Linked DNA regions of Bombyx mori. The protein of the gene in region 2 interacts with the protein of the main gene of each other region in a pairwise test. Links are inferred from orthologs where the notes say so. Each region holds a gene or a part of one and is shown on either strand. Other genes may lie near its edges.

What was found.
Region 1: the proteins of TRAF3 (region 2) and CBP80/20-dependent translation initiation factor interact in a two-hybrid assay, tested with the Drosophila melanogaster proteins (2 studies listed by BioGRID). The link is inferred for Bombyx mori from reciprocal best matches to the Drosophila melanogaster genes Traf-like and CG13124.
Region 3: the proteins of TRAF3 (region 2) and E3 ubiquitin-protein ligase TRAIP interact in a two-hybrid assay, tested with the Drosophila melanogaster proteins (2 studies listed by BioGRID). The link is inferred for Bombyx mori from reciprocal best matches to the Drosophila melanogaster genes Traf-like and nopo.

Annotation. Positions count from the first base shown.
Region 1 is NC_085114.1:13,969,760-13,974,026, forward strand, and holds the start of CBP80/20-dependent translation initiation factor, read left to right. Parts: upstream 1-1,467; 5' UTR 1,468-2,170; intron 2,171-4,267.
Region 2 is NC_085120.1:2,140,803-2,144,970, reverse strand, and holds the start of TRAF3, read left to right. Parts: upstream 1-1,368; coding exon 1,369-1,482; intron 1,483-4,168.
Region 3 is NC_085113.1:1,838,563-1,842,505, forward strand, and holds the start of E3 ubiquitin-protein ligase TRAIP, read left to right. Parts: upstream 1-1,143; 5' UTR 1,144-1,390; intron 1,391-1,497; 5' UTR 1,498-1,559; coding exon 1,560-1,672; intron 1,673-2,260; coding exon 2,261-2,476; intron 2,477-3,170; coding exon 3,171-3,329; intron 3,330-3,943.

The DNA.
Region 1 (4,267 bases), on a different chromosome or scaffold from region 2:
ACCACAAAAATTATAAATGGAATCTTAAAAACTACCATAAAAATTATAAACCCGTGAGGATCAATGTTTAATAAAGAACGTTTATTAAATGTAACCAATTTTTGTTAATTATTTATATTTTTTCTTTTATAAGTAGGCCATTTTTAGTTCTTTTTTTTTAGTTTAGTAACATTCCTCATTTGAATAGATTATATTGTATTTTATACGAAAAACTTGTGTAGTAGTTTCGTGACCGCAATAAACTATTATTTTCTACTTTGTTTTCTTTTTAAATCTCATTCCGTAGTTAATTATCCATGTTTTTTTATTTAATTATTAGCGTAATTATGGACAAGGCTAGAACACGGAATTGATGTTGAGACAGTCCACTAAGGTATTCCGTGAAGCATACAAGAATTCCGGAATTACTGCTCACCTGCTTTTAATTGGTTACCGGAGTAGATCACGGAACCTCTCACCTTGAAATATGCAGTCGAAGTCCATATATAAGGATCATCCCATCTTCCAACCCAGAAGACATGGCGGCTAACGCGTGTCGTCGCATCGTACAATAAATAGGCAAGAATGAAGAACATAGGTAGCTGTAACCACAATCATGTGTGTAAATAATAAAGAAAATTGCGTTTGAAAAGTCGAAAAACATGACCCCGTTATCAGATCCGTCATCAAATGTCAAAAAGTGTGCGGAACTCGTTAAACCAAACAAAAGGATCTCGCAGTTGAAGAATTACAATATCCACCTGCTCGATTCATCATTAAACCCCCCTCTAAGAGTGCCTAATTAATGTACATTTATTGTATTGTTTTTTTTCTTTTTCTTTTTTCTATTCGCTGTTAGCCTAGTTCCAGTTACGCCCGGACGGGATCGTGTATACATAGTGTATTGTACATATAATTGTACTTGTCACTTGTTATGCCTACGAAATGAGTCCGAATCCCTAGGAGTATACAAGGAGCCAAGGCTCCACCTTTGCGTGGTCGTATCAGGCTTTAGTAATAAAATTGAACTGCTATAAAAATTGTGACGCTTGTAACTTAACCTAAATGGCTAATCTCGGAGGGATAATGCCTGACAAAGAGTAAAAGGCTGAGACAATGCAGTAAGTATTGTGTAATTGCGATTCGTTCGAACGTGATCTTTAGTAATATCCAAAACTATTGATGGAAGATCCTTCGAACTACTTATCTGGCAACAGAAACATGCAGGATATTATGACCAACAAGAGATCTTTATTGAATTAACCTTCGCGAACAAATATTGTATAAAATTATAGGTTTCCTTTCACTAACGTGACTGCCTTCGTCTACGATGTGGGTGGATGTTGGATTAACACGTCCTTAACACTTGTCAGGAATTTGAGGCTGTTCAAACTAGTGTTGCCAATGCGAATTACGTCATGTAGGTATTGCTATTCTATTGAGTGGGCAATGCAACTTCGGCACGGTTAAAACATTGATGAATGCTATTTATTCTTTCACTGTCTTATGTTATTGCAATTCTGGTTTAGTTTTATCTGTAACACGTAGAAAATTTCGAGCGCGCAGTCTTGTTTAAAGCAATAATATTTCAGCACAGCTCAAACGCCAAAAATATACACTGCACTCGAATTTTAAAGGCAAATAAATGTGAACGTGAAAGTACTTTAGCTTTACCAGTTTTACAAAAAAGAAACTACTACTTATAACATCAGTGCTAGTCTGCTACTCTTCGGACAATGGTTACCAAAGCGGCACTATGTAGAGCGAACAAACATTGATTCAATGCTTGAGTAGTTCAGCGACTGCGTTAGCGTCGTTTTCCAACTACGCTCTGTGTGTTGCACTCGTTATCCAACCACAGCACAGTCTCGACACTGAGATACTTTGCAATCTTAAAATGATCTACACGTGTTAATGTTGTCGTAGGAAATACAGTTTTAAATGAACTACACGATTGATGGCTTAAACTAAGGTTTATAGTTTAAAGAAGGACACTGTGATAATGAGAGTTTTAACTCGGAGACGGTTAATGTGAGCGCGCGTCGCTTCGTCAGTCGGCAAACCGCCCGGGCGGGCGCCACACGACCGGAATCTGCGCGAGCGACGAGCGGTGCCAACGAATATAAATTTCAGTGAAATAAAACACGCATCCGCGTACCGCTGTAACGTAAAATGCGAGCGCAAGATTCTGGTGAGTATTACCCATCAGCTAATTTATCTTAATCACCGTAAATGCGACGCACTGAAAATTATATATCCGAAACACCTAAATATAGTTACTGTATTTTCGGATGCTGCAACGTCTCTAATTCACGCCGCGCTTGCTGGTTTCACGTGAAAATGTCTATGTTTTGACACGCGATGACTCAAATACACGAACGCGGATGAGAGCCGAAATGCTCTAAGCTGTGAAATGAAAGTGCACGTTGCACATTATGCCGCCGTTTAAGGCACGAAGCGAAATTTTCTAACAGATAATTAGTTGGCGCGATAAAAAATAGATTTCTTGTACTGCATACCGGAGCTCCCAACGGGCCAGTGGCGGCGGTGTCCTACATACCATTATTCCGCACCAAAGATCAATGCCTGGCTACAGTGGGTAATAATCATAATCGTAATGTATTATTTGAATATCGGCAAGTAAAAAAAATCTACATCTATTCGAGAGATTTCATTATTTTAACCGCTAAAGTACTATACAAAATTTTAACACAACAATAATTTCATTGAAAGATAGAAAGACCGCACCCGCGCTATATTTAGTGTACAACTACAAACTTATAAAAACAAAAATCGTAAATTGTATTTTTAACATCTTCCGCCCGCGGACGCTAACAAACATCCTTCAGTTATTTACTCGTGTTAAATATTGAACTGCTGTTGATTGTAACCTAGTGAACTGACATTATAATTGGAATAATTTATCCAATAGAAGGCCGGCATTGAAATTACTTTACATTTTAGTTATTTGTTGCTGTACATACATATTATTTCCTCCATTTTATTTGAAAGTATATTAAATTGGTTCATTTGCACTCTTAAGCATTTTTGACTCTATTATTCATCGCAAGCTCTGAATCCGAAATGACTCAAATACGTTATTGTATCGCGATTGGTCTAATCTGATTAAATAAAACTCAAAACAAATTTCAAGATATGTAGCAACATTTTAGGACGCTTAATTTTAGTTAACGACGGGGCAACCAAAAAGGCTTATCTTAATAAATATAATTCTTCTGTGAGTTAAAGGGCTGGACCGATTTTGATTAAAAAAAAGTTGGTGTGTTCAAGTCGAGAATAGTTGAGATTCACATTTCGCTCCACTGGAAAATGTTTTATCAATTATTATTTTTATAAAAACTTTCGGATTTGAGACGTGTACAGGACAACGTCTGTAGGGTTCGTTCGTGCATACATATGTATACAGGGTATCCCAGAAAGAATGGATAATCCTGGTGGATGGAGCTATTCGGGACACAAAAAATAAAAAAACGAATCTCAGGTACCCAACCAACCTCTCCAAATTACGTATTTTAAAAAAAAGTTGATATTTTCCATACTGCTGGGCGTTTCTGGAATATACAACAGTTACAAATAAATGAAATCCATAGGCTTTTTGGTGTTATCATATTCTACATGGACTATACTAAGGAATATGCACGAAATTGTATGAGTAGCTAGTGTAATTTTTTATAAAAGCTAATCCGAACTTAAATTTTAATCATGAAATTGGGTATTTTTTCTTTATTTTTAATTTGGGTACTACCTAAGAAATATTTTTTTATTTTTTATTTTGAGTCCCCAATAGCTCTACTATGAGGTGTTTCAGGATTATCCATTCTTTCTGGGACACCCTGTGTATGTAATAGCTAAATGAGGATCTTCAATTGAGTGGACAATTTTGTTCGGAAACTTTTTTTTTTATTGCCTTTGTAGGCAGACGAGCATACGGCCTACCTGATGGTGAGTGGTTACCGTCGCCCATGGACTTCAGCAATGCCAGGGGCAGAGCCAAGCCGCTGCCTACCGCGAAGACTAATTGTCCCTATACTTATAGTTTTTCGACATTCTTGATTGCATGATTTTCTTTTAAATTATTGTTGTGTAATTGCGATTCAAATTTTTTTCCTATTCACGGTACAGTATAATGTTAAAATAACGACCTTTTTATTTATTTTTAAAACTAGCGACCCGCCCTCGCTTCGCTTCGGAAAGATTAAAACACACATAAAACCAAAAAAAAAAAAAATTTTTAAAAAAGTAGCCTATGTTCATCAGGGACAATATC
Region 2 (4,168 bases):
AGCAAGCTGTCAAAGAAATGTTCGAGTTGCATAACCGATATTTAATATTAGCTGTGTTCAAATCGCTAATGTATGCAAATATATCAGATGACCTTTAAATTTTAAATAGTCGAAATATATTGTTGGAATATTATTATTGCAACTGACATAGAGATTCAGATGAGCTAAAATGCCCATCACTCTGTTTTAGTAATCGGGTTAGATTGAAAGACGAGCACGCCGTTCTACTGATGTTAAGTGGTCACAAGTGCTCGTATAAATCGTTTCGTCACACACTTTGGAAACGAGAGTCTGTCAAGCAAAATCCCATTTTTTTATTTTTTTTTATTTCCCTTGTAGGCAGACGAGCATACGGCCCACCTGATGGTGAGTGGTTACCGTCGCTCATGGACTTCAGCAACGCCAGGGGCAGAGCCAAGCCGCTGCCTACCGCTTAATACTCTCCACAAGCCTCGTTTGAAGAAGGATATGTCATAGCGCTCGGGAAACACCGTGGAGGGGAGCTCATTCCATAGCCGGATGGTACGTGGCAAAAAAGACCTCTGGAAACGCACTATGGATGACCGCAGTGGCTCCACGTAGTATGGATGAACTCTACTCCGGTGTCGGGCGGCGCGATGGTGAAAACGAGATGCCGGTATCATCTCGAACAATTCCTCAGAGCACTCGGCGCAAGATATTCTAAATTATGTCTTCACTGGCTAATCCCGCAAAAAATTAGGTTCACCTTGACCCATTTGAAGCGAAAATACTAGATTCACAATTGATACGGAGTATTTACGTATCTGTTATCACGAAAACGCCCAGTATCAGCTTACGGTATAGATAACAACCGTGAATCATTTTGTAACAAAGGATATAACGGTGTTGACATGTTTCTGTGAAAATATCTTTAAATAGTTTAATAAATTCGTTATTGTTTCGCTATTGATGGTCTTATTGAGGACAACGTTAAATCTTCGGTTACGGATAACGCGCGTCTTATTTTAAGTGTGATAGTTAATCGAAATATGGAGGAATTGAGAATATATTGAGAATATCTCTTGAGAATATACACGCCTTTATGGTATTAAAAAATCAATGATCGGTGCCCACTTAAAACACTGCAGACCGTGAGTTCGTTCAGATACTGCAACAAAGAGTATACTGTCAATTAAATTCTCATCTAAATTAGTGAAACCATTGCGTCGTATCCTTTATTTATTGAATCCAAGCTCTCAAGTTCACCCGATGTTAAGTGCATTTAGTGAAAAGCCTGGTGAAGGATAATTCTACTAAAAAAATTACGATTTTTTTTTATTAAAAAACCCGTACACAGTTGTTTTATGATGAGTGTTTGAATACATTATTCAGGAGAACTATGCGAAAATGAGTTTAAATAGGATTATCGCAAATGGAGTCGGCGCGTCGGGAAATAAGAAGAATCCTAACGAAAGTCCCTGCTACTTCTGTAATGAACTCTTCGAAATGGGTCAGCTGCAGGTAAATATAATTAACTATTGTTATAAACCGTAATGTAATATATTTAATTAAGTTATCAAAGCAATTTAATAAAGTTTATAAATTTAATAAATTGAATAAATTTAATTTATTTATTTACTGACCCGGCAGACTTCGTAGTGCCTCAATCGATAAATAAAATACCTAAACTTTTGTATAAAATAAACTTAAAACTTTTGTTTAAAAGCAATCCGTCCGACGGGGGACACATCAAAGGAAAAACCAAATTGTTATTTTTATTTAATTCCGATCATTTTCATATTTATCTACCTTTTAAACCTTCTCTGGACTTCCACAAATAATTCAAGACCAAAATCAGCCACATCAGTTCAGCCGTTCTCGAGTATTAGCGAGACTAACGAACAGCAATTCATTTTTATATATAGAGGTTAACTAGCTCTATTAGCCTATTCTCCTATTCCTATGGGATGGTATGGACATGTGATGAGACAAAATAAAAATGAGGTTAGTAAGAGAGTGTTAACTATGAATGTGGAAGGATATAGAGGAAGAGGTAGACCTAAGAAGAAATGGATGGATTGCCTGAAAGACGATATGGGTAAGAGGGGAGTGAGCGAAGAAATGGTATATGATAGAAGAGTATGGAAGGAGAAAACATGTTGCGCCGACCACAGGTAACTGAGAGAAGGGCAGGATGATGAATGATGATTAGCCTATTCTCATATTGGATGCAGATATTGCAGCCGAAAACGTAGTACGTATTGCGTATTAAAAACGAAAATAAATATCGTCTTTTTCCGTAAGACTAGTTTTTATTTATGCCAACAACTCGCTAAAACTGATGAAAATACTATAGTAATTTTCTATTTCGGTTATGTTAATGTTATGTGATATCTAGATATACCAGTACTGGCATTTAACCCTCAGACACAGCCCACTGAGTTTCTCGCCGGATCTTATCAGTGGGTCGCGTTTCCGATCCGGTGGTAGATTCTGCGAAGCACGGCTCTTGCTAGGGTTCGTGTTAGCAACGTCGTCAGGCTTGAGCCCCGTGAGCTTACCTACTAGTTAAGGTTACGCTGAAATAGCCTTTCGAGGCTCTCAGCTTAGGTAGGAAAAAAAAACTGCCACCTGTCTCGTTTTCAGGATCGAGCTCACACTCAGCTTATCAAGACAATAAGTAAAATGCGTGGAATGAATTCATTATAAGTCAATATCAGTTGTTGTTGTCGATAGCGCTCCGTTGTATCGATTGATAACAGAACGTTGCGAAATGTTATCTTTCATCGAAGGACGGATTGCGCGTGTGCTCGATGATGGGTAGGGCCGTTCGCTTAGCTATGATCATGGGCTCCTATACTTAACAACGCGTTAAGTATAAGTATGGGTTTAGAGGTCAAGTTCCCAACTTAGCACGTGTAAATAAAAATATTAGCATAGTTTTGTAACGTAATGTTTATTTATTTATTGGTTAGATGGGTGGACGAGCTGACGGGCGATCTGGTGTTAAGTGATTACCGGAGCCCAGAGGCATCTACAACGTAAATGCGCCACCCATCTTGAGACATGAGTTCTAAGGTCTCAGTTCAGTACAATGTTTTAAAGTCTAAAAAAAAAACTGTCAGGATCACTTGTATCAGCAATACCGACACCGTAAAAGGCGTCGATGGTGACATTTAGAGTTGTGGTCTTCTCCGGGAAACGTATTGTGTGGGTTCAGAGTACGTATTGAGCAGGAAACAATTTACTCTGATAACTATACTTTAGTAGCGGACCCGACAGACGTTGTCCTGTGAATTCATACGAAAAATACACTCTCAAGTCGATCCAGCCGTTTAGTTGCAGTATAGATAAATATTATAGATACCGACTGCAGCGCCATCTGTCGGGCTAATTTGTGAATCTTAACCATCCACGGCGCTACCCAAACGCATACAAAAACAATTCATTCAAATCGGACCAGCCGCTTAGGAGGAGTTCAGTGACATAATATGTCAATATGTACAGTAGAATTATACATAGGTATTGTTACGCGCGTAAATTAAAACTGTATTCAACACATAAAACACTACACAAACACTTTAAAATTCTCAGTTCGCTTTTTCCTCTTCGCTTCAGGTGATCCGTTCGCAGTTTCGCTTCGAGTAGTTCCAATTACTAACTGACTGCGTGCCATCTCTACAACGCTTTTATAGCCGATATCATATCCCTAGAATTATCGAGAATATTCCACACATTTCGAGTATTGTGTTTTTCCGATATCTGACAATAGATGGCGTTGTACTCCGCGAGCGTTCTAGGTGTTACTAGATCCTTCGATATTCGTTCCGCTATTCGGCGATAGATGGCGTTACTCTTACCGGCGTAACAATATAAAGATTTGGCGATTAAAGTATAAAACGAGTTCTAAATAGTTCTGGGCTAGCGTTTCGTGCGATAACTCATTGAGAAGTCTCCTCGATCGATCGAATTAAGAATCTCTTACATTCAGCTCGGACGTACACCAGCCGGGCTCTACCGAAGCGATAAAGTCACCGAAGGTTGCGCCTAGTTAACAATTCAGCGTCTATAGACATCTCTGATACATATAAAAAGCCTTGACAGTAATCTTTGTAAAGAGCTAAGGTAGATTAATTGCATCAGCAGGGTAGCATTTTTGTCAATCAAGCTTAAGTGTTTTATTTTTTGAGATCAGTGGGATTAGATG
Region 3 (3,943 bases), on a different chromosome or scaffold from region 2:
CAGTAGACTAATTTCAAGTTGTAAAACTTGAAAAAAAAACCTATTTTAACGAATCTAGCTGTAGGATTGAAATAATTTTAATAGACCTAGAAATGTATACTATTTTTTGCGCATCGAATATGGTTATTGCCTATCATTTATGTATAAAGCAGTTATTCTCGCTTAGTCACGTTTGCCTTTCAAGCGTCGACATGGTTGTGAAAAAAGTTAAACGAGAAAAAAAAATTGTACCGATTATTTATGAAGCGACGAACGAAATTTTAACAAAACTTAAATTTTGTTAAATTATCACTGGTCGCTGGATTTTACGGACGCGAATACACCGAGAATCCTATTCTATATTTTGTAATTTAATATTACCAGCGATGGACAATATTAATCAAACTTACATTTTTTTTTTTATTGGCTTTATAGGCAGACGGGTATACGGCCCACCTGATGGTGAGTGGTTACCGTCGCCCATGGACTTCAGCAATGCCAGGGACAGAGCCAAGCCGCTGCCCTACGCCTGTCGTAGCGCCATTCTGGAGGATTTTTGAACTGTTATTTAGTGCTGAAAGTGGGACACTTTTGCATGTTTCTCCCATATGAGACGGTTCTCCTTACCTCTACCCTCCATAGACAATATGTAGTACATCTTAATGTTCGAACGATTTTTTGAGATGATTCCGTCATCTTGTTTTACCACCGCATCATCTAACGATTCATCTAGAACTACTATGCTCATTTTTTAATCAACATCATCACTGTACGTTTTTAGCTTTGAAATTAATTCCCTTCAATATTTCCTGAATTTTTCCTTCCTCAGTATATTTCTTAAGTTTTGTTAAGTCATGACGTTCCGATTCAGAAGTTTTAAGGAGGGTTGTTAGCGGTAGGCCACCCTGCTGCCCTGTCGGTAGTGCTAGTGTTCTAGGTTGGTAGTGTTGGTGGTGCTGGTGTTCAAGAGAAATGGTAATCACTTATCATCTAGAGCTTCTTCAGTTAAATATTAAACATATTGTATATGATCCTTTTAAGCTGAAAGGTGATTTAATTTACTTTTCACCCAAAAGACTTGGGTTCGGCTTACTCATATTTGTATGATCTTAGTTACCTTTGCCTATTCAATTTGGTAAAGCAACTAAAAAATCATTGGATCATAAATAATACCTACACTTCATTGGATGTCTGAATCTGAATGATAGAATTGTAATGTTTTGGAGATTTGATTTCGTTGTAGACACTTTCAGTTAATGAAATAAAAATGACATAAATTGATAATCAATATATACCACATACCTAATTCTGAGATGATTATGCAAAAATAAACTGATATAAGGTTTCATAGTACATACATAAAATTTATTGTATTCAATTCAACATATTTTGCCTAGAATTTGCGGGTAAGGTAAAACTAAATTCCGTTTTGAGAATTGCAGGGAATTATTAGAAAAAATACGAAGAATACCTAGTATGCTTTCTGTTTGTTTTTAAATACGTAATCTCCATTTATAGAAAAAGAAACCGTCTGTAAATCAAGCCAAACGAAATTTCATGTAAGAAATTGATTGCAGAAAATGCATATCCTCTGTACTATATGCAGCGACCTAATAAATCAATCTGAAAGTATATATGTGACAAAATGCGGTCACATATTTCATCATCACTGCCTTATACAGTGGATTGAAAGGTAATAAATAGTTTTAGCTGGAATGATTTAATAACGTGAATGATCTCTTCAACCCGTGTCCACACAATGCTGAGTGTAGATCTCTTCGAATGCACCTTATTCTTTTCGGTCTCTGGCCTTTCGCATCCAGTCCCTAGCAACCACCCTGACCAGGTCATCGGTCCACCTCGTTGGCTGTCTGCCCACGTTACGACGTCTAGTACGAGGTCTCCACTCCAGTATTATTGTGCCCCATTGGTTCTCAGTGCAACGGCATATGTGGCCAGCCCGCTTCCACTTTTTCTGAGAATTACCATTCATGTCTTCATGCACGGACATGAAACGTAATACTATGCAAAATGTGAGGGAATTTCAAACAATTCACTTTTTTAATATGTATTGTTAAAATAATATTGCTTTTGATGATTGGCTCTATTTGAAGAGAATTGTAATCGGCTAATATTGTATTATTAGCTTATACTGTTTTTGTTGATTACAAGCAATAGTATCTGGTAACTTTTCTGTGTAAGTGATTAATCTAGGTACATTAAAACCAAACCATCATATTAGCTATAAAATGTTGTTTGAGCCGTTTACCTTTTTTACCAGGTCAAAATCCTGCCCGCAATGCCGCAACAAAGTCACAGAGAAATGCATGTTCCGAATGTATCCTACAATATCAAATGATGTGACAAGCGGCGAAGACTCAGCTACTTTACAGTCTAGATTGGATGACACACAATTACAGCTCAGGCAACAAAAATCTGTGTGCAGAGATAAAGAGGACAAAATATCTGATTTAATAGGGGAGCTAAAAAAGAATGAGTAAGATATCTCTGTGTTTTGAACTCTGACAACTGATAGCTTTTCCCCATACAATCAACATCGTAGTTCAATGATTGTGTGATGTTAAGTTGTTACAAGAACCATTATACCCCAAGCTAAGATATTAATCTAAATTCCTCAGTCACTGATTTACAAAACATGAATAGCAGGAATAAGCATAGGCTTGTGTTACTAGTGGTCTAAAAAATATTGTAATGATTTTAGAGTATTTTTAAAAAGGTATTAATTATTGAAAAAAATTATTTCTATTTTAGTAACTTGAAAAATTTACAATAATGTAATATGTAAAAAGAGAAGCCCGTTAGGTTTTTGCCTGCTATACTTCTGAAGGTTGTGGCTCTTCTTGGCGTTCACTCTTGTTTTTTTCACTTCCAATAAGAAGTTTAAATTACTGATAAATTAATTTGATAATTTAAACAATCCAGAAAATTGAACTTTTGTAAAAAGGAGGACAGCAGCTGTCTGGTATAGTTTTGTTGCTTATGACTATCACCTAAGATCAAAAGCACTGTGAGCTAGCTTGTTTACATTTCAGATACCTAAATAGTGTTGCAACCTTCTTACCTTAATAATATGAAGTATAAAATGAGTTATCACACACACATATTGCAACTGATGATGATGTTTTAAAAATTAAATAAATTAATTTTCAATGAAACATAATATATTCTAGAGCTCTATTAAAATCATATGAAAAGAAGTTGGTAAGCAGAGATTCTGCAATGACTGCTATGAGAGAACAAATGGAGTACCTCAAAATTCAAAACAAAGAGACAGTCAAGTTAAAAGAGGAAAATGAAACAATGAAGCAGAATTTACAATTGTTAAATGGGTAAGTTAATTTTAATATTCAAAAAAGCAATGGTCCTCATCAAAAAAGTCCATAACATTACCCAATGTAGACTATGATAAAGCTACAATTCAGTCAAGACCCCGGCTGGGATGTAGTCTCTTTAATTTTGCTGAGTTAATTAGTGATACATGTGTATTGTATTAGAATGTTTTTAAGAAAATGCTAATGTGTCAAGCACATACAAGACGAATTTAATATTGAATGCCGGTGTAGTGCCCACTCAAGTAAAAACCTATACTCTCCTAGTTGTTGATGAGTATGTTTACCTGGGGCAAATCAGCTAATCTAACTGGGATGGGCAGCATTCAAGAAGCTTAGTGAAATAGTGTTCGGAAGCTTTGTGAAATAATGTTCGGGTAGCTCTGTAAAAGAGTGTTTGGGAAGCATCATAGTGAGGAGTTGTTGTTGACAATGAGCCTTATCAAAAGCTTAAAAGTCACTGAAAGAGCAATGCAGAGGGTAATGCACATATTTTTCCTGCAACATTGAATTGGGAATTGTAGTAATCTGATGTTAAAGTGTGCAATATGCATCTCACTTTACCTATCGCTCACAATATTATTCTGGATCAGAAGTACCTGCATCCTGGTGTT